3 linked regions of the Astyanax mexicanus genome follow. The protein of the gene in region 1 interacts with the protein of each later gene in a pairwise test. Links are inferred from orthologs where the notes say so. Each region holds a gene or a part of one and is shown in the gene's direction. Other genes may lie near its edges.

Region 1 (6,589 bases):
TGTAACTGGAAATATCTGCGCTGCAAAACTGTGCTGGACTGAGGCGAACAGCTTTCGACACGTGCGTTTACAAGCACATACCCAACCATGTGGATGGAGGCCATGCAGTTACCCTCAAGCTTCTTAGGCAGCAGCAGCCTGTCATTTACACAGACACAGAGACGACGCTGTGTATCTACTTCTTGTGTCAAGAATCAAAACATTGCAACATGACGTGTTTGATTTAATTGCCTTAAGTGACATCGCACGTCCTGCGATGTGACTATTGCGAATGCTAACATCGCAATGACGATGCTTAAAACGATATATCATGCAGCCCTACTTGCCGTGGGACTGTGAAACGTGGACTGCTACGGAGTGGCACTGCATTGTCATTCATGGAGAATCCAAGTCCTGTGTGGTATCCAGCTGGTATTCTAGCTTCAACATCCTTAAAATGTACACGATCTACAGGCCCAACTGCAACATCTTTAGCTAAATGCGCTTCAGGATGCCATGCAGAACCTGTATTCCTACTGTATTACCCACTGTATTTTATATTGTATCTAAGCTAGCCTTCTTTTAATGGGATTGATATGGATTCTATTCAGTGGATTGTATGCATTCCCCAATAAACTTATCCTTTCTCTCTAAAATTGTAATCACTTACATATACATATATCGTCTTTACATTTACACATATAAAATTCCATTCCATTCCAACAACTCCCTATTGGAAAAAATTTGTATACTGGAAATAAATTCAGTTTTTCGTCTTGACATTTGATGATGCAATTTCCTGTTTATTTGCTCTGACAGGTGAAGACCTGTGGCGCTGGCAGTCCCAAAATCCCACAGGCTTCAGTAATGGGAATGTGGTGTGAAGCTGATGCAGAAGGAAGACTGAAGAGAAGAAGATCCTAGAGCCATGAAGTCCATTACTTTTCTACGACTTGATTTAAACTAGACGAAATCTATGAAAACAATGACACAATGAATGATTTACATTCCTTACAGTACTGTTTCTACCTGATTACTTTTAAATTATTATTAGCAAGCCTTTGTCTCTTTGACCAATCTTAGTATGTGTCTTTATTGATCCTGTATTTTCTTTATTCAAATCCATTCTTAACTTAACATTTCCAGGGCCAAGTTCATTGCATATCTTTCTGTTTGTACCTTGTCATGTTGTCAATACTGTTGATTAACTTAATTCTTTAAATAATTATAATTTAATTATTTTGGGAAACAAGGGATTGTTTTATTTTCATCTGACTATACTTCTTTTATAACTGCATTGAAGCCAAATACAAGAAGACCAAAACAGGTGCTTTTTTGCAACTCATAATAAAAGGGATTTACAAAAAAATATATATTGTATCTTGTGCATTTATAAAGCTGTGTATTTCAGCCATTACATGTGTTATGCCCACGTTTCAGCATTGGAATAACTAGTTAATTACTAATAATACGTTTGTTAACCTAACTGTGAATTCTATCCGTCGCCTAAACCCAAATTTATTATGAAAGTTGATCTGAATTACTCTAGCATTCAGCTCTTATTCAGCACATGAGCCCAGTTCAGTATTACTTCATTCAATAATTACTAATAAAATATAAAATGATGATAGCCTTGTTTTTCCTCCCACTGTCAATTTTCTCATTTTTGGCAGGGCACTTTATAGTTCATTCTCAGCACTGCAGTGATACTGACTGGCATGGTGGTGGTGTATGAGGTGTTAGTGTGTGTATGTTGGCATAAGTGGATCAGATACAGCAGTGCTGCTGGAGTTTTTAAACATCTCACTGTCACTGCTGGACAGAGAATAGTCCACCAACAGCATCCTGTTTGCACTGATGAAGGACTAAAGGATGACCATCATAAACTGTGCAGCAACAGATTCAGAGCTTCTGTCTCTAACTTTAAACCTACTAGGTGGAGCAGCTAGGTTACCCTGGTTTTACACTCTAGATCTGCACCAAGAGCTTTTAGAGCTTCTGGTACAGCTACAACAATACAATAGATAAACAAATTGCAAAAGTGTAACGTAAGAGCAACATAAATCTAAAACACCAAAATAAATCAAATAAATACAATAGATGAGACAATTTAAAAGACAAGACAGTGCAGTACCATCACGGTAAAGTTAAATGTTCTAGTGAGGATAAGGTGCAGAGGAATTTAACATGCTGTAACGTATAGAACATACATGATCACAGCAGTTACTGATGTAGAGAATTTGTGTTTTTTTGGTAGAAGCAGCAAACATTGCTGATAGGGATGAAGATACTGAGACACTGAAACACAGAGAAACATTTCAGTCTCTGTGTGCTGAGTCTTTCTGTGTGTGAAGAGTGGTGGGGGGTTTAGTTCAGATCTGTGTGTTGTGGAGTCTGACTGCCTGGTGGATGAAGCTGTTGCAGAGTCCGGTAGTAAAGGCTCGGAAGCTCCTGTATCTTCTGCCGGACGGCATCAGACTGAAGAGTACATGTGAGGGATGGGTGGGGTCGTCCATAAGCTTTGCAGATGTAGCGTGTGGTGTAGATCTCGGTGATGGAGGGGAGAGGGTCTCCGATGATCTGCTCAGCTGTCCTCACTGTCCGCTGTAGGGTCTTGCGATCTGAGATGTTGCAGTTCCCAAACCAGGCTGTAATGCAGGTGCTCAAGATGCATTCTACAGTCTTGCTATTTTAATCTCAGTGTCTTCATGAGGTAGTGTCACCTGAAATAGTTTTCTCAACGTTTTGAGGGACTAATAATAATATTATTAGTTAAAACAAATAGTGTTATCCATTGTGGGTGTATATTCTGAGCTCTAACTATTCAAACTGAATGAGTTCGATTAATTGTCAGAATTTCAACACTCTAACCAATGCCTATATTAGGCAATGTTAAATAAAGGGTGGTTAAATTTTTCTTCTGTCCACTTTAAAAGATGGGATGCAACCAAAACAATAACATTTATTCAAGGTTTTTAATACCAGGCTGTTTAATTGTTGTTTTTCCATTGTCAACATTGACAGATGTGATGCATACAAAACAACAACATTTATTAAATGTTATTTGATATCGAGGTAAGATTGGACGACTCGGACGGGTGCGGTCGGTCTCCTGCGGGAGGGTTAGAGGCGCAGAGGTCGGGTGGAGTGGCCGGGCTGGAGCGAGCGGAGAGCGGGCATGTGGAGGAGGACACTTGTGCTTTAAGTGGCTCCACAGCCCTGGCGGGCTCTCTGAACACCCACGTCAGCAAGAGCCGTGTGGGGGGCTTTATCCCCCTCACACACACACACACACACACTAACGGGTTTCGGTCTTTCGGGCTAAGCAGGAAGTGATCAGTTAAAGCTGGAGGGGGTGGGAAACAGCACCACCACTAAAACCGACCAAAGTAGCCTAAAGACATGGAGATGGTCTGCGAAAGTGGGACGAGTAGACCGTACCGGACCCCGAGCGAGCCGGGTCAGCAGTGAGTATGCTGTATGCCGCTTTGTTGGAGGAAAGGGGGCGGAAGGAAGGGGCACAGCCGCCCCGGAGTGTGAGACGGGGGAGAGGCAGAGAGAGGCAGGCAGCGGGGCCGGAGCGGACTTAGGTGGGTGGCGGGCGGAGGTCAGGCAGGAGGGAGTCAGCGGGCTAGGCGGAGCTCCGCGCACGGGGAGAGAGCACCGCGCCGCCGCTGCGCAGTGCAGGATCTCCCGCTGAAGAAGAGGGCTAACCGCGGGCTGTGGGAGCCGAGCTAAGTCCCTGAACCACCCCGGGCGTGGTTTGCATGTTAGCCCACCCTCTTTAAACCCTTAATATGGGCGTTTATTCGCTTTATTTCGTTGATAATGCTCAAAATGTTGCATTTAGTGCCGTGGACACAGTATTTTACTGTATTTTCCTGTTTAGCTGCTGCAGTTAGTAGAGAACAGGGGGAGGGAAGGAGGTCGATGGGCTCAAACATGAAGGGCTTCCAGCGGCTGCCCGTTTCCACATTATTAGCTTATTTTATGGCAAATATTCCACACATTTATCTCGTCTGTCTTATTAACTGAGGAAAAACACACACATTATGGCTAGTGAGCGTTATCCAGGTCCTGGAGGTTAGAAGCTAGTTTTAGCTCGCCTTTCAAACGGGTGTAGGCTGCTCTAATGGAGCACGGGCGGGCGTGCTCGTTTTTTTCTTTTTTTGTGGGATTGACCTCTTTTTCAACATCAATTGCGAAATATTATAGCTAATTATTAACTTATTATAATGAAATATAAATGAAAATATGTTTGTAAGATATTGGTAAAAAAAAAATAGAATATATTTTTGGTGCTTGTCTGTTCTGATTACAAGGTTTAATCATATACATTAAAATCTATAAAATAAAAGAAGATAGAGAAAAATATATATATATATATTATTTTTCTCTGATTTTTACCACCCGACCTTTTTTATTTACCTCCACCCCGATCCTAAATTCTGTTACCCGTTGGGAGAAACGGGGGTGTGTGTGTTATTTTTGTCCCCACCCATTTTAGGAATATAATTGACAGCACTAGGAGCTTATAGCAGATGCCGCACTCATGACTTTCAGTCCTGTTCTATTAGCCAATCACAGTGCATCAAGGGGGCGGGACCTGTCGCAATACAGGTGGGAAAGGAAATAACACGGGGTGCGGCTCTCTCCTCGAGAGCCAGCGCGCTTGACTGACAGACGTAACAGCCAATCAGAAAGCAGGGGTGTCTGTTTTAGCCCTTTTCCTTTCTGGATGGAACAAAGGATCTGGGAAGGGGAGAGGATGACCCAGAAATGGGCTGCTGGGGTGAATTATGATCCACGGTCTGGAGCACTTCAGTGGAAATGTTGTGGCTGAGCCGATTTGACTCTGTATACCTAGATTTTAACGTTGGTGGCTAAAAACAAGCATATACTATAATAATTATTTTTTATAATTTATTTTTTATTGTCTTTTATATTACAAGTGGGACTAGACAATAATTCAATATCAACATATATCATATATCTTAGCTTATATCAAACAGCAAAACATACTTTATCTAACCAAGGCTAGCTGCTGTGTCTATGCTAAATTTGATATCAATTATATATATTTTGGTCATTTTGCATCTGTACCTACTGTAAGATGTGGTTTCTCTATTGCTGAACTGGTCCACACCTGCTCTTTTTGTGTGGGTATGATGGTTTGTGGTAGACTTGTCACATAACATTATTATTATATGGAATATTATAAAGGCATTATCAACCTATCATAAAGTATATGAACATGACCTCAATTATTTTTGCTGATGTAGATATTGCCCATAGTTTTTTACCAAGCATGGAGATTCAATTGACATCAATGAGAAGCACCATCTACCCTTCCAAAGAGAGCATGGCCAATTATGCTTTCTTGGACTCTGGCTGCTGATGGCATGCAGCATTATTTAGAACATAAAAATATTTTATATATTGAAATTCGATGTCTGAATATTTTTTAATAATTAAAAAAGGGGACAGGATTAGTCTGTTGTCAGAGGCCTTCAGCAAGGAGTAATGTTTTTTGAAATATCGTGATATTATTTTAGGGGCATATTGTCCACCTCTAATTTCACAACATATTTCTTTAAAACCAGCTAATTTTTAATCATGCCATCTTTAACTGCATCTTTTCTTATTTCAGGCTGATCCACAAATTCACGAGTGCAGACATATCAGCCAATCACCAGTGCTGCCTCCTGAAACAGCTGGACCAACAGAGACGGAAGCAGCTCTTCTGTGACTGCAACATCCTTGTGGAGGGGCACCTTTTCCGGGCACACCGTAACGTCCTGTTCGGCAGCAGCGGCTACTTCCGCATGCTGCTCTCCCAGGGGGCCAAGAGCAGCCTGGAGCCCGTCAGTGCCTCCTTTGACGCTTTTAGCCCCGACATCTTTACCATCATCCTGGACTTTGTGTACTCTGGAAAACTGGAGCTTAACAGCACCAATATGATCGAGGTGATGTCAGCGGCCAGCTACCTGCAGATGGATGACGTCATCGCCTACTGCAAGTCCTTCATCAAATCCTCCCTGGAGATCAGCACCAAGGAGGAGGACAGCCGCTACCTGTGTTTGTCGGATGGCAGCGCTTCACGAGACGGTGGTGAGGATGGCAGTGAAGAGCCCACGGCCTGCGAGGTCAGCACAGCCAATGAAAACGTCCTTTGGGACCAGCAGGAGGAGGACGACCAGTCTAAATATGAGTACCCTGGAGAGGTGACCAGCCCACAGTCCTCAGCCTTGCCGCAGAGCCCCCCGACCCAATCCATCATGGACTCTGGAATGGAGGAGGATCAGGCGGTGCAGTTCACGGCGGTGGAGCCCCGGAGGAGGGGGAACAGGAAGAGAACGGCCACGCATCGCTACGCTCCAGACGATTCACCCTTGGACCTCCAGTCTTCTCACAAAGCAGATGAACTCTATGCCACCATGCCCACTATTTTAGGAGTGGTGGGTGTTTTCAACAAAGGTAAGATCATATATAAGGGGCTCTTATATTCAGCATTGTCTTGCATGATTTAAAAAAAAAACTGGACTCACACATTGTGATTACAAATGAGATTGGTGAAAGTCTTAGAGATTGGACCGATCTAGGCCTGGAC
Region 2 (6,589 bases), on another chromosome or scaffold:
TGTTTTTTATAATGTTTTAAGATAAAAAGGGTTATTATCAATGCTATATAGGCCTACAGTATATATGTATTGGGCAGAACCGAGTTAAGTATATTAGTCTAAAACCATTCAAATTTCTCATGTGGACCCTTGGGAAAATTAATTGCCCACTCCTGCTCTAGCGGTTCACAGTAATTTTCTGATATAATGGAGGAGATAGGTACGGTGGCCGAGAAAGCCCAACGCAGTGCAAATTGAAAAGCGCTGCAAAAGCACAAAACACATCCATCAAAATTACAACACAGGCGCAGCAAATAGAAAAACGCGCTGCAACTAGAAAAACGCGCTGCAAATAGAAAAACGCGCTGCAAATAGAACCACAACACAACGGAAGTGAGTCACAACACAACGGAATTTTCCCGGGGGACCTTAAAAGATACTGTACGTCTCGCAGTGTTGGGAAGGTTACTTTTAAAATGTAATCCCTTACAGATTACTGATTACATCACTCAAAATGTAATTTGTAACATAATCAGTTACATTACTTCAAGTGAGTAACGTAATCTGATTACTTTGGATTACTTTAAATATTGTCATTTTTTTAAGCCTGAATGAATGTAACAAATAGATAAACAAATAAAACAGCCTTTTCAATCACTCTATAAAAATACTTATGAAACCATTTCATCAAACAATTTTATAAAACACTTCTATAAATTGATGATAAAACCATTTAAAACCAAACAATGTAACAACAACCGTAAGCTCTATCTATTTTGCAGGTTTGCCTCCAGTGTAATTTTGACAACAAATTGTGATTTAGTCTTAGTCATAGTCTTGTGACGAAAATAGTATTTAGTTTTAGTCACAATTTAGTCATCTGAAATGTTTTTAGTTTTAGTCGACTTAATGTCATAAGAATATAGTCGACTAAAATTACAGTAAATTTAGTCGACTAAAATGTAAAGGGTGTAAATGTAAATGCTTTTTTCATCAGTTCCCTTGAATTATTAACTCTACATGTATACAAAATGAAACGTTTAATAACCACTTGAGTAATATTGTTAATGTTTGAAAGTGAAATATATTTATATATGATTTAATGTATATTATTATTATTACTATTATTATTGTAGGTGTGTGTAAAATATTTTACATTTAAAATTTTGCTCTAGAAATCAGGTCATAAAACATCTGAATAGTTAAATTATAGTTTGAACAGCGTTGTAGATGCAAAAACTTTTAAAGGATCTAGTTTTATCTCCAGCACTAACCCAGCACACCTACTGTAGCTACATTCTATAAATGAACACACATTCACACACTGTCCTGTAGAGATGCTCTCAGGATGTACAGAGAGACTTCATGAGTTAAAGTGAGAAACTTATGAGAAAGTGCTGTAAGGAACTTTACACAAACTTTTGGGTTCATAGATTCACTTATTTTATTGTTTTATTTTGGATATATTATTGAGTTCCTTTCTGACCTGTTCCTGCTTTAACACTAGCTATATCTTTCCCACTGTGAGACTAAACAGATGATCGGATCTTAATGAGTTAGGGTTCTGTATCAGTTCTGTGTTTTAGTGCACTGCCGAGTTAAACACATCAGCTCATGAAATAACATCAGCATTAAAACGCTGATCTCTGCATGGAGATCTGTGTGACTCTGGTCTGCAGAAGCTGAAAGATTAGTGGTGTTTTTACCGGTAATGGAGTCGCTCCACGCGGTTTACACGTTATCTTGTTTTTCACGACGTCAAAAGAGAAATATATCGCCTCTCCTCTCTCTCTCTCCCTGCTGAACACTGTCGAGTTAACTTCCAGTCGAGCTCCGTATCGACAGTTTAATTCCGCGAGGCGCTGCTGCAGGAGAGGCGGGTACTCCACCTTCGCTAAAGTAGCAGTGATTGGATCTCTTCCTAACTGGTCCCTTCCTTTCACAGACCTAAATCAGTTCTGATTGGATTTCGTCCCTGCCAAACATTTTCGTCTCGTTTTTATTCGTTGACCAAAATGTCAGTTAATTTCGTCTCGTTGTGTGTGTGGAGCCGCTGTGAGCCGCTGCCCCTCCTCCCTGTGTGTGTGTGCAGCGAGACGGGAGGAGGGGCAGACAGTTCCCTGTCATATCAGAGCGTATTCACCGCAAAATGTTATTTGCGTTTTGTCAGTGTTGGATTGGAAGAGCAAAAATAGGAAAGTACCGCAATGTAACCCTTTTATTTTAGCAGAGTAACTGTAATCTGATTACCACTTACTGAAGCAGTAACTGTAACGGATTACAGTTACTTATAATTTGTAATCTGATTACGTAACGCCGTTACATGTAATCCGTTACTTCCCAACACTGACGTCTCGGACTTCACTATGTGTACAAAAGACAATAAGTGGCAAAACAAGGCGTTTTGTGAAGCAGAACTTTTAATAATATGCACACAACCGTGGCAATCACAGGTAATAAACATAACTTACTTTTCAGAAGCTTGTTTGCCACTTATTGTCCTTTGTATACAGCTGGTACAGCATCTTTTAAGGTCCCCCGGGAAAATTCCGTTGTGTTGTGACTCACTTCCGTTGTGTTGTGGCTCTATTTGCAGCGCGTTTTTCTATTTGCAGCGCGTTTTTCTAGTTGCAGCGCGTTTTTCTAGTTGCTGCGCCTGTGTTGTAATTTTGATGGATGTGTTTTGTGCTTTTGCAGCGCTTTTCAATTTGCACTGCGCTGGGCTTTCTCGGCCACCGTAGATAGGAAGTCCGCATGCTCTGATTTTACAACAGCAACTAAAGTTTACTAGATAGGGAACGAGGGTGCGGTTTGAGACACGACCCACAGTGCTGTTGCTCAGGCAACAGCTTCAACACTGCGGCGGCTCTCCGATTTCCGCCACAAACGTAGCTTAGTTTAACTAACATAATTTAGCTAATTATAGATATTATAGCAGTTTAGTTTCAGTCAGACTACAGCTAGATAACACTTTTAAAGGTGAGTTTATCCGACAAGTTCGACTATATGGTTTCATGTTAAGCCTCTAATTCCTAACTAGTTTAATACTCCGTGCGTGTCAAAAACAGGACTAAAACTACAATGTTTTACGCCTAAATAAACGCCAGTTTATTAACTCTAGTTTACTTGTATGAGTATTCATTTTTTACAATTATTGTATTTCACAATTTAAAACCACGTTTACCTGACACGCGGTTTTAGTGGACTTGTTGTCAGGGTGGAGTGTTCACTCCTGTCAGTCTGAATCAGACCGCACTGTGGAGTTCTACATTAGTTAGTTAGTTAGTTAAATTAGTTCATTTGTTAGTTAATAGTTAGGTTAGCTTACCTATCTATCTTGCTAACTAGATGATGTCGACATGTTAGTAGGGCTGGGTGTTATTGTAAAAAAATAATCTTGATATTCTTCCAATAAAGCTCTGGGAAAAAATGAGAAACCACTTAAAAATGATATGTTACTTTGGTTTTACCAAATAAACCTCTGGAATATAATCAAGAGGACGATGGATGATCACAAGCTATCAAACCAAGCCGAACTGCTTAAATTTCTGCACGGGTAGTGGCATAAAGTTATCCAAAAGCAGTGTGTAAGATATCTGAACTCTTAAGACTTTATGAATATGAACTTGTTGTCTTTGTATTATTTGAGGTCTGAAAGCTCTGCATCTTTTTTTTTCTCATTTTCTGCAAATAAAAGCTCTAAATGACAATATAGTAATTTATAGAATAAAACAATAATGTTCATTTTACTCAAACATAAACCTATACGTAGCAAAATCAAAGAAACTGATTCAGAAACTGAAGTGGTCTCTTATTTTTTTTTCCAGAGCTGTGTATGAGCAATTCTCGATACAATTTAGATTATAATAGTAAGCAGCCCAATTCAACCTTACATGCAGCTTGCTCAAACTCTACTAAAGCATTAATGCAGAGGAACAAATACAATTTTCTGGAATGATCATCTCAGTCCCCAGACCTGAATATTATTGAATATTCATCTGTGGTGTGATTTAAAGCGGGCTGTTCGTGATCAGAAACCATCAAACCTGACTGAACTGGGGATGTTTTGTAAAGAAGTATGATCCAAAATAAATATTGATGTAATTTTTCTGTTGGGGTGCCCAAATTTATGCACCTGCTTAATTTTGTTTAAAGAATTATCACACTCTTTCTGTAAATTCTATCAACTTTATTTCACTTTTCAAATATCACTGTGATTATCTGCTATATGATATATTTTACTGAAATTGCTGATCATGAACATGATCAGGAGTGCACACAATGTTCCATACCACTGTATGTCCCCAGGCAATAAAAGCATGTTAAAAAAATACCTTCTATCTTTTGCAGCCACATTTAATTAGTAAGCCACACAGAAATTTAATTCCAAAATAATTTCAAATGGGTGACTTATGTTTTTCTAGTTTGCACTGTAAATGTTTAATTGATGTGCTTAATATATAATGTGGGCAGTGCAACAGTTTGTGTGTTACTAGTTAAGTTTGATTGTGTTTGTCTATAATTGTAAAAGGTTTATTAATAGGTATCATGAGCGCACACAGCAGTGAGGTGAAGGTGTTTGTCCGCACCAGACCCACGGCCTGCTTTGCCCAGGATCTTATTGAATATCTGCCGGATAAACAGGTAAACTGGCACACTCAATAAAACAGTCACTTTATCATCTTCCTATTCTGTTTATCTTATCATTACGCAGCATCACATTTATTTTCACTGGGTTTTTCATTTGTACCACGTTTGTTATCTTGTTATCTTACTCAGACAGTAAATGTGCGGCACAGGCGGGAGTCCAGGAAAGGGGTGGTGAATAATCAGATGAGCTCCTGGTCATTTAAGCTGGATGGTGTGATGCACAACATGTCTCAGGAAGAGGTCTATCAGAGCGTTGCCCACAGTGTGGTGCTCCGAGCTCTGGAAGGCTACAATGGTAATTGCCATGAAATGCTGTGCAGTTTGGAACCATATTAATAATGTGTTATTTGAAACGCAAAATCAGTTTAAATATTATAAACTAGTCAAAGTTGGTTTATTGACAATACCACATACTGGACTTTGGGAAAATTAGATAGTAGTAACCAATATAATAAATGTATCTGTTTACAGTAATGTTGTGTCATTTTAGAATTATCTGCAGCATTTGTTTTATTGCACATTTTTTTCAGCTGCTTGTTTGCACAGCACTAATTTATTGTACATTTATCGTAATAGTTTTATACATTCCTCCACAACTAAATTAGCTTTATATGTCTGCAAGTATTCATCACACATTCCACATAAACACATATATATATATGCAGGTTTACCGTATTTATTTCATTAGCACCACCATGTGGAGCAATGAAGCAGTATATTTAGTAAATCAAATTAAGGGGTGAGTCTTAGGAAGTTGTAAGCATGTATGTTTTTTGGATGCACCCTTTTGTTAACTCGGAGCATCTTTGCCACTTTGGTGATTCAAATCTTCACACCTGCCAATTTCCCCCATGTCAAACATGAACTACAAGAACTGATTGTTTATTTACCATCTAAAGCATATAGTCGCTGTCCAATGAAAAATATTTATCTCCATTTTTGTCAAGTTTTAGTTTACTACATAAATTAAACAGACAAACTGTTCCTTACACTGTGCCAAAATCTATTGATGAATGGACCAATAGAAACTCTTCAAAATGACCTGAAATAAACTTTTTTTACATTGACTTCCATTGAAAGTTTTTTCTCTCAAAGTGTGAAGTCAAATTTACACTTTGTGCATGGTTATGTTTCTAAACTGTGCATTCCTTTTTTTGGGATATTAAATTGTTTTATCATTAGTTCTGTTAGACATTTGGCCTTTAGGAATCAGAAGTCAGATTGTTTAGATTGTAACTTTTTTCACGTGCAGACCTTGAGTAAAGAGTTTAAATTAAAACCACTAATTTAAGTTTGTTTAAAGTATCAACAATATCTGCTATAAAAATCATACTGTGTCACAGTCACTGTGTTTGACAGTCCATGTAATTTCAGTTTTCAAGTTTTTGAATTCTGTCTGTCTATCAGGTACAATCATGTGTTTTGGACAGACTGGGGCAGGAAAAACTTATACAATGACTGGTGCCACAGAGAGTTACCAGCAAAGAGGAATTATCCCTCGTGCCCTGCAGGAGGTACAACGTTCATTTGTTATCTTGATGCAGTCCTTTGGATACAGTATTTAATCATCTTAATCATCTCTTTGTGAAATCTCTCTCTCTCTGGCCAGGTGTTTTATGAGGTGGAGCAGCGTGTGGATCACACCTTTTCCGTGTTCCTCTCCTTTCTGGAGATCTATAATGAGACATTGGTGGACCTGCTAGCCTCAATAAAGAGGGGCCGGGCGGTGCAAGGCGGAGCCTTGACTATAGTGGAAGATCCAGGTGGTGGTGTTTCAGTGAAGGGACTTACTTTACATCCCGTACATAATGAAGAAGAGGCCTTTAATCTGCTTTTCGAGGTGAGGCAATGGTTTTGTGATCTTTTGGATCAATGTCCTGATACTTTAATAATTGTCGTCTTGCAATTTTTTATTATTTTTTTTTATTATTAATTAATACAGCATTTAAAAAAAGAAAGG
Region 3 (6,589 bases), on another chromosome or scaffold:
GATGAAAGCAATACCAAAACCAAGCATTTGTCAGTACCCAAGCAACCACCTAAGACACCTTAGCAATGAACTGACTAGCAACCACCTACCAACATTATAGCACCAAATAAGCAATATCATAGTAACCAATTGGCAACTACTTAACAGCACTACAGCAAGCACCTAGCAATATCTAAGCAATTCCATAGCAACCATTGACCAACTCTGGAAGATACTGTAGGGCCAAGCGATCATCAAGCAACTTAGCAACCACCAACCAACACCCCATCAAGAAAACACCAGGGATACCATAGCAACCACACTATAGAGTCTATTTAGCAACCACCTGGTATACCATATAAACTGCCCAACAAACACTAAGCATTCTATCAACCATTTAATTAGCAACCAACTAGCATTATTACAGCAATTGTAAGCCCTGGTGACACCACAAGAGAATCCAAACATCTATGATGATACCATTGCAACTACTTAACAACCACTATGCAGTTCCTCCTCATAGCATTTGCTAAACAACTTTATAGCAACCACTATGCCACACTCCAGCGTCCACTCTACTGTCCACATATCAAAAACGGGAAATCTTCACCAGCCCATTCTGCACCAATAAACTATGTAATACTTATGCAGTGACATAATCCTAATGATTTGTGCTCTGCATGCCACCACACTGGATTTAAAGTGAAAAGTTTAGTTAATTTTTCTACAATGCCTCATCATTTCAGGAGTACAAAATTATTTGGACAAATTAATTTTACTATTCTTTTTGACATAATCAAACACTGGGTTTCCTCCCTTATGATGTTTTGCCAAGTCTTTACTGCAGCTTTCTTCAGTTGATGTTGTTTTTTTGGGTCTTAAGCAAGTGAAGTGCTGCCCAATCAGGTTCAGATCCTAGGATCTTAGTTTCACCTGTCCAACGAATGATATACCAGAACTGGGCTGGCTTCTTTAGATGGTTTTGGTATACTCTAATCTGGTAATAATCTTTTCTATTAAAGATCTTTGTAGTCCCGTGAAGTTTTCTCTTTATAGTAGACTGATTATAAATTCTGATACACCTACTTCTGGAGAGTACTCTTCTCTTGGGTGGATGTTGTGAAGAGATTTTCTTCACCATGGACAGGATTCTGCTCGCATTCCCCACTGTTGACTTCCGTGGATGTCCAGGTCTTTTTAAATTCCTGAGATTATCACTGCGATCTTTTTTCCCCAGAGTGTACCAAACTGATTATTGAGCTTCTTCAAGAGAGCTCCTTTAACTGCAGGTTGCAGGTTGCAAGGCCAACATGTTGACAACTGTGCTTGACGAGTGACCCTGGACTGATCCTAGTCTCTACAAACTAGCTATGGATATTTTGAAGTAAACAACGAAGCACTGTCGCTCTGGATAACGGCTACTGCTAAATAACTTAAATGTAAATGTTAATCGTCAGGTGAAGAAGGAAGAGGCTATTTGAGTGAATGTGAAGTAACCTCTTCTGAGATAGACTATGCATGGCTGTTCGGCTCGCCACAAAGTCTTAGACAGGCCAGAAGGTCTAAAGGCCCTGAGAAAAAAACATGACTGGTTTACTGGATTTAATGAAGCTCCTTAAAGAAACATATTGTTTAATAATGTTTAATCAGCAGTGTTATGTTTGTTTCGCATAACCAATTGACAATCATGTGACTGATGATTTTAACTCCAATTAGAACATGCATTATGATAAAGTTAATTTACATGTAAATTATGTTTGAATATAATTGTTAGTGCAAGAGAAAGGACTACGGTGGCCGAGAAAGCCCAGCGCAGTGCAAATTGAAAAGCGCTGCAAAAGCACAAAACACATCCATCAAAATTACAACACAGGCGCAGCAAATAGAAAAACGCGCTGCAAAAAGAAAAACGCGCTGCAAATAGAACCACAACACAACGGAAGTGAGTCACAACACAACGGAATTTTCCCGGGGGACCTTAAAAGATGCTGTACCAGCTGTGTACAAAGGACAATAAGTGGCAAACAAGCTTCTGAAAAGTAAGTTATGTTTATTACCTGTGATTACCATGGTTGTGTGCATATTATTAAAAGTTCTGCTTCACAAAACGCCTTGTTTGCCACTTATTGTCCTTTGTACACATAGTGAAGTCCGAGACGTTACTGAAGACGCAGCTTAGCTGGTACAGTATCTTTTAAGGTCCCCCGGGAAAATTCCGTTGTGTTGTGACTCACTTCCGTTGTGTTGTGGTTCTATTTGCAGCGCGTTTTTCTTTTTGCAGCGCGTTTTTCTATTTGCTGCGCCTGTGTTGTAATTTTGATGGATGTGTTTTGTGCTTTTGCAACGCTTTTCAATTTGCACTGCGTTGGGCTTTCTCAGCCACCGTAAAGGACAGTTAAAGTAGTTCAGTTAATTTTTTTCCTGTATTTATTTCTCCTTTTTCCTTATTACTGATTCTTTGTTTGATTCATGCTCTGGTTTGGAAATCAAACCAGTAAAACTGACTGCACTGATTTACTTCAGGAATGCACTATAGTATTTTTATGGACAGCGAAACTGAGAATTAGCGTTTGTGCGTGCGTTTCTCCGGGCGCCGCAGGTGAGGGGGCGCTCTGGGCTGGGAGCTGTTCCTCTCTGTGCATTTATTTACTACTGAAGAGTTCCGGGTCGTGCCTATCGCCCTCCCGCCTTTTGCACGAGCAGCTTTGATCTCCGTTAGCGCCGCTGCTGCTGTTACTGTTATTGTCATTATTATAGTATTATCGTTAGTTTTCAGATTAAGCAGTGTTAGTAGTGCGGCGCTCTCTGCAGGTGTACTGAGCGGCAGCGCGAGCGCCGGTGTCTGATGGACTCAGGTAGGGTCAAAGCTGATCTGAGACTGAGAGCGTTATTACACTGTTTATAAGCGCTGCCGGTGTTTATAACAGTGCTGAGTGTGTGCAGCTGTGTGAAATGGTTTGTTTTAAGGTGGAACTACCTGAAATATTTAAGGTGACCACAGATAATCGAGTTCGGTGGTTGGGTTTTTATATACTGTAAGTTAAACAAGCCCCGTATTTAATACATGCTGAATGAGCCAGGGTAGTTTCAGTAATTATATGCTGCATTCAGTCTGTTTTAATAAAGATTAGTTATAAATATCTCCTTATATGGTTTATGGGTAACTCGGGTGTGTTTTAATGCGTGTAGCTGAGGTTTTGCGTATCTAGTGCGTAGCTAGCTGTATGTAGTGAATTCAGGGTAAAAGACTATTTACTGTTTTGTCTCTGTGTGCTCTGTATAGTGTAAGTGTGATGAATAATTTATAACCGGGTTATTTCTGTAATGCTTATCCATGTGCATCATATAAAATCTTACATTCTCAAACCCAGAAGAGGATAATAAAATGTATGTTAACTGGCTTTCGTATATTTTAGGTGTGTTTATGATCTCTGTTTTGGTTTTTACACAATCCAGGTTTCATGGAATTTAATGGAGTATGACTGAGGGTAAGTGCAGCACTATATTGTACTGTGTTTCAGTGTAACACAGTAGTGTGTGTTAATATTACATCGCTACTGTTATAGGTTAGGAGGAGTAACTGTTGGTGCCGGGTGAGAGGATGTGTAACTGTTAGTGCTGGGTGAGAGGGTGGGTAGCTGTTAGTGCCAGGTGAGGGGGTGGGTAACTGTTGGTGCCGGGTGAGGGGTGTGTGTAACTGTTGGTGCCGGGTGAGGGGTGTGTGTAACTGTTGGTGCCGGGTGAGGGGTGTGTGTAACTGTTGGTGCCGTATGAGGGGTGTGTGTAACTGTTGGTGCTGGGTGAGGGGTGTGTGTAACTTTAGTGCCGGGTGAGGGGGTGTGTAACTGTCAGTGCCGGGTGAGGGGGTGTGTAACTGTCAGTGCCGGGTGAGGGGGTGGGTAACTGTCAGTGCCGGGTGAGAGGGTGGGTAGCTGTCAGTGCCGGGTGAGAGGGTGGGTAGCTGTTAGTGCCGGGTAAGGGGGTGTGTAACCGTTAGTGCTGGGTGAGGGGGTGGGTAGCTGTTCGTGCCGGGTAAGGGTGTGTGTAACTGTTGGTGCCGGGTGAGGGGTGTGTGTAACTGTTGGTGCCGGGTGGGTGTGTGTAACTGTTGGTGCCGTATGAGGGGTGTGTGTAACTGTTGGTGCCGGGTGAGGGGTGTGTGTAACTGTTGGTGCCGGGTGGGTGTGTGTAACTGTTGGTGCCGTATGAGGGGTGTGTGTAACTGTTGGTGCCGGGTGAGGGGTGTGTGAAACTGTCGGTGCCGGGGGACGGGTGTGTGTAACTGTCAGTGCCGGGTGAGTGGGTGTGTAACTGTCAGTGCCGGGTGAGTGGGTGTGTAACTGTCAGTGCCGGGTGAGGGGTATGTAAGTGTCAGTGCCGAGTGGGAGGGGGTCTAAGTGTCAATGCCGTGTGAGAGGGGGTGTAAGTGTCAGTGCCGGGTGAGAGGGGGTGTAAGTGTCAGTGCCGGGTGAGAGGGGGTGTAAGTGTCAGTGCGGGGTGAGAGGGGGTGTAAGTGTCATTGCCGGGTGAGAGGGGGTGTAAGTGTCATTGCCGGGTGAGAGGGGGTGTAAGTGTCAGTGAGGGGTGGGGGGGCCGGGTGAGGGGTATGTAAGTGTTAGTGCCGGGTGAGAGGGTTGGTAGCTGTTAGTGCCAGGTGAGGGGGTGTAAGTGTCAGTGCCAGAAGAGAAGGGGTGTAAGTGTCAGTGCCGGGCTGAGGGGGCCGGGAGAGAGGGGGTGTAAGTGTCAGTGCCGGGAGAGAAGACGTGTGTGTGTAAGTGTCAGTGCCGGGTGAGGGGTATGTAAGTGTCAGTGCCGGGTGAGAGGGGGTGTAAGTGTCAGTGCCGGGTGAGAGGGGATGTAAGTGTCAGTGAGGGGTGTGTAAGTGTCAGTGCCGGGTGAGAGGGGGTGTAAGTGTCAGTGCAGGGTGAGAGGGATGTCAGTGCCGGGTGAGAGGGGTGTAAGTGTCAGTGCCGGGTGAGAGGGGGTGTAAGTGTCAGTGCCGGGTGAGAGGGGGTGTCAGTGCCGGGTGAGAGGGGTGTAAGTGTCAGTGCCGGGTGAGAGGGGGTGTAAGTGTCAGTGAGGGGTGAGAGGGTGTGTAAGTGTCAGTGAGGGGTGTGTAAGTGTCAGTGCCGGGTGAGAGGGGGTGTAAGTGTCAGTGCCGGGTGAGAGGGGGTGTAAGTGTCAGTGAGGGGTGAGAGGGGGTGTAAGTGTCAGTGCCGGGTGAGAGGGGGTGTAAGTGTCAGTGCCGGGTGAGAGGGGGTGTAAGTGTCAGTGCCGGGTGAGAGGGGATGTAAGTGTCAGTGAGGGGTGTGTAAGTGTCAGTGCCGGGTGAGAGGGATGTCCGTGCCGGGTGAGAGGGATGTCAGTGCCGGGTGAGAGGGATGTCAGTGCCGGGTGAGAGGGGTGTAAGTGTCAGTGCCGGGTAAGAGGCGGTGTAAGTGTCAGTGCCGGGTGAGAGGGGGTGTAAGTGTCAGTGCCGGGTGAGAGGGGGTGTAAGTGTCAGTGCCGGGTGAGAAGGGGTGTCAGTGCCGGGTGAGAGGGGTGTAAGTGTCAGTGCCGGGTAAGAGGCGGTGTAAGTGTCAGTGCCGGGTGAGAGGGGGTGTAAGTGTCAGTGCCGGGTGAGAAGGGGTGTCAGTGCCGGGTGAGAGGGGTGTAAGTGTCAGTGCCGGGTGAGAGGGGGTGTAAGTGTCAGTGAGGGGTGTGTAAGTGTCAGTGCCGGGTGAGAGGGGGTGTAAGTGTCAGTGCCGGGTGAGAGGGGGTGTAAGTGTCAGTGCCGGGTGAGAGGGGGTGTAAGTGTCAGTGCCGGGTGAGAGGGGGTGTAAGTGTCAGTGCCGGGTGAGAGGGGGTGTAAGTGTCAGTGCCGGGTGAGAGGGGGTGTAAGTGTCAGTGCCGGGTGAGAGGGGGTGTAAGTGTCAGTGCCGGGTGAGAGGGGGTGTAAGTGTCAGTGCCGGGTGAGGGGTGTGTAAGTGTGTTTCTGTATATATATTTAGAATGGAGTGTTTTTGTTCAGTTTTGTGCTCCTAGTGAAGCAGCAGTTCCCCTGTGGGTCATGCAGCGCGGTCAGGCTGTGCGGCGGCGCCGGGCAGGTCGGTCAGACACACACAAGCCGAAGATGAGACGCTCGGCCTCGGGTGAGCCCGCCACGCCACACGGAACTGGAAAACCTGACAAAGTGGGCAAATCGAGCAAGGTGGGCACCGGGCAGTGCCGCCTGTGCCACGGGCAGTTCTCCTCACGCCGGCTTCGCAGGGCCTTCGGAAAGCCCCCGGACTCGGACCGGTTCTGTTCAGATTTCCAGCGCCTCCTGGGCGTCCCGCTGCTCCGGGACCCGGCGCTGCCCCAGTTCATCTGCAGGACCTGCCATGCCCAGTTCTACAAGTGCCTCAGCATCCTCACCAACTTCAGAGAGAGAGTCAACCTCACCCCTAACTCCACCCACATGGAGAGGTGCGCTCGCCTGCAGCCGCATATTCCACTTCTGTTTATTTGGAATCTATAAACGACTAACCGCATTAATAATTAAATAAACTAATAAAATATTAGCTTAATTGTGTTATTTGTATTATTTTTTATGTTGATTTTGATTTGTCTCAGTAATCAACTTTTACTG

The links.
Region 2: the proteins of zbtb8a (region 1) and kif9 interact in binary tests that used the Homo sapiens proteins (3 or more experiments, as listed by UniProt). The two-hybrid records come from large-scale screens. The link is inferred for Astyanax mexicanus from reciprocal best matches to the Homo sapiens genes ZBTB8A and KIF9.
Region 3: the proteins of zbtb8a (region 1) and znf276 interact in binary tests that used the Homo sapiens proteins (3 or more experiments, as listed by UniProt). The two-hybrid records come from large-scale screens. The link is inferred for Astyanax mexicanus from reciprocal best matches to the Homo sapiens genes ZBTB8A and ZNF276.

Annotation. Positions count from the first base shown.
Region 1 is NC_064421.1:41,106,573-41,113,161, forward strand, and holds the start of zbtb8a (zinc finger and BTB domain-containing protein 8A), read left to right. Parts: upstream 1-3,115; 5' UTR 3,116-3,381; coding exon 3,382-3,446; intron 3,447-3,493; exon of another isoform or gene 3,494-3,746; coding exon of another isoform or gene 3,747-3,748; intron 3,749-5,629; coding exon 5,630-6,456; intron 6,457-6,589. Other genes in the region: gale (UDP-glucose 4-epimerase), read left to right, coding at 799-863. UniProt on the Homo sapiens protein: May be involved in transcriptional regulation.
Region 2 is NC_064415.1:39,516,632-39,523,220, forward strand, and holds the start of kif9 (kinesin-like protein KIF9), read left to right. Parts: upstream 1-2,802; 5' UTR 2,803-2,958; intron 2,959-4,510; exon of another isoform or gene 4,511-4,522; 5' UTR 4,523-4,527; coding exon 4,528-4,623; intron 4,624-4,758; coding exon 4,759-4,924; intron 4,925-6,036; coding exon 6,037-6,143; intron 6,144-6,238; coding exon 6,239-6,469; intron 6,470-6,589. UniProt on the Homo sapiens protein: Essential for normal male fertility and for progressive motility of spermatozoa.
Region 3 is NC_064417.1:11,334,444-11,341,032, reverse strand, and holds the start of znf276 (zinc finger protein 276), read left to right. Parts: upstream 1-3,435; 5' UTR 3,436-3,467; intron 3,468-5,989; 5' UTR 5,990-6,028; coding exon 6,029-6,426; intron 6,427-6,589. UniProt on the Homo sapiens protein: May be involved in transcriptional regulation.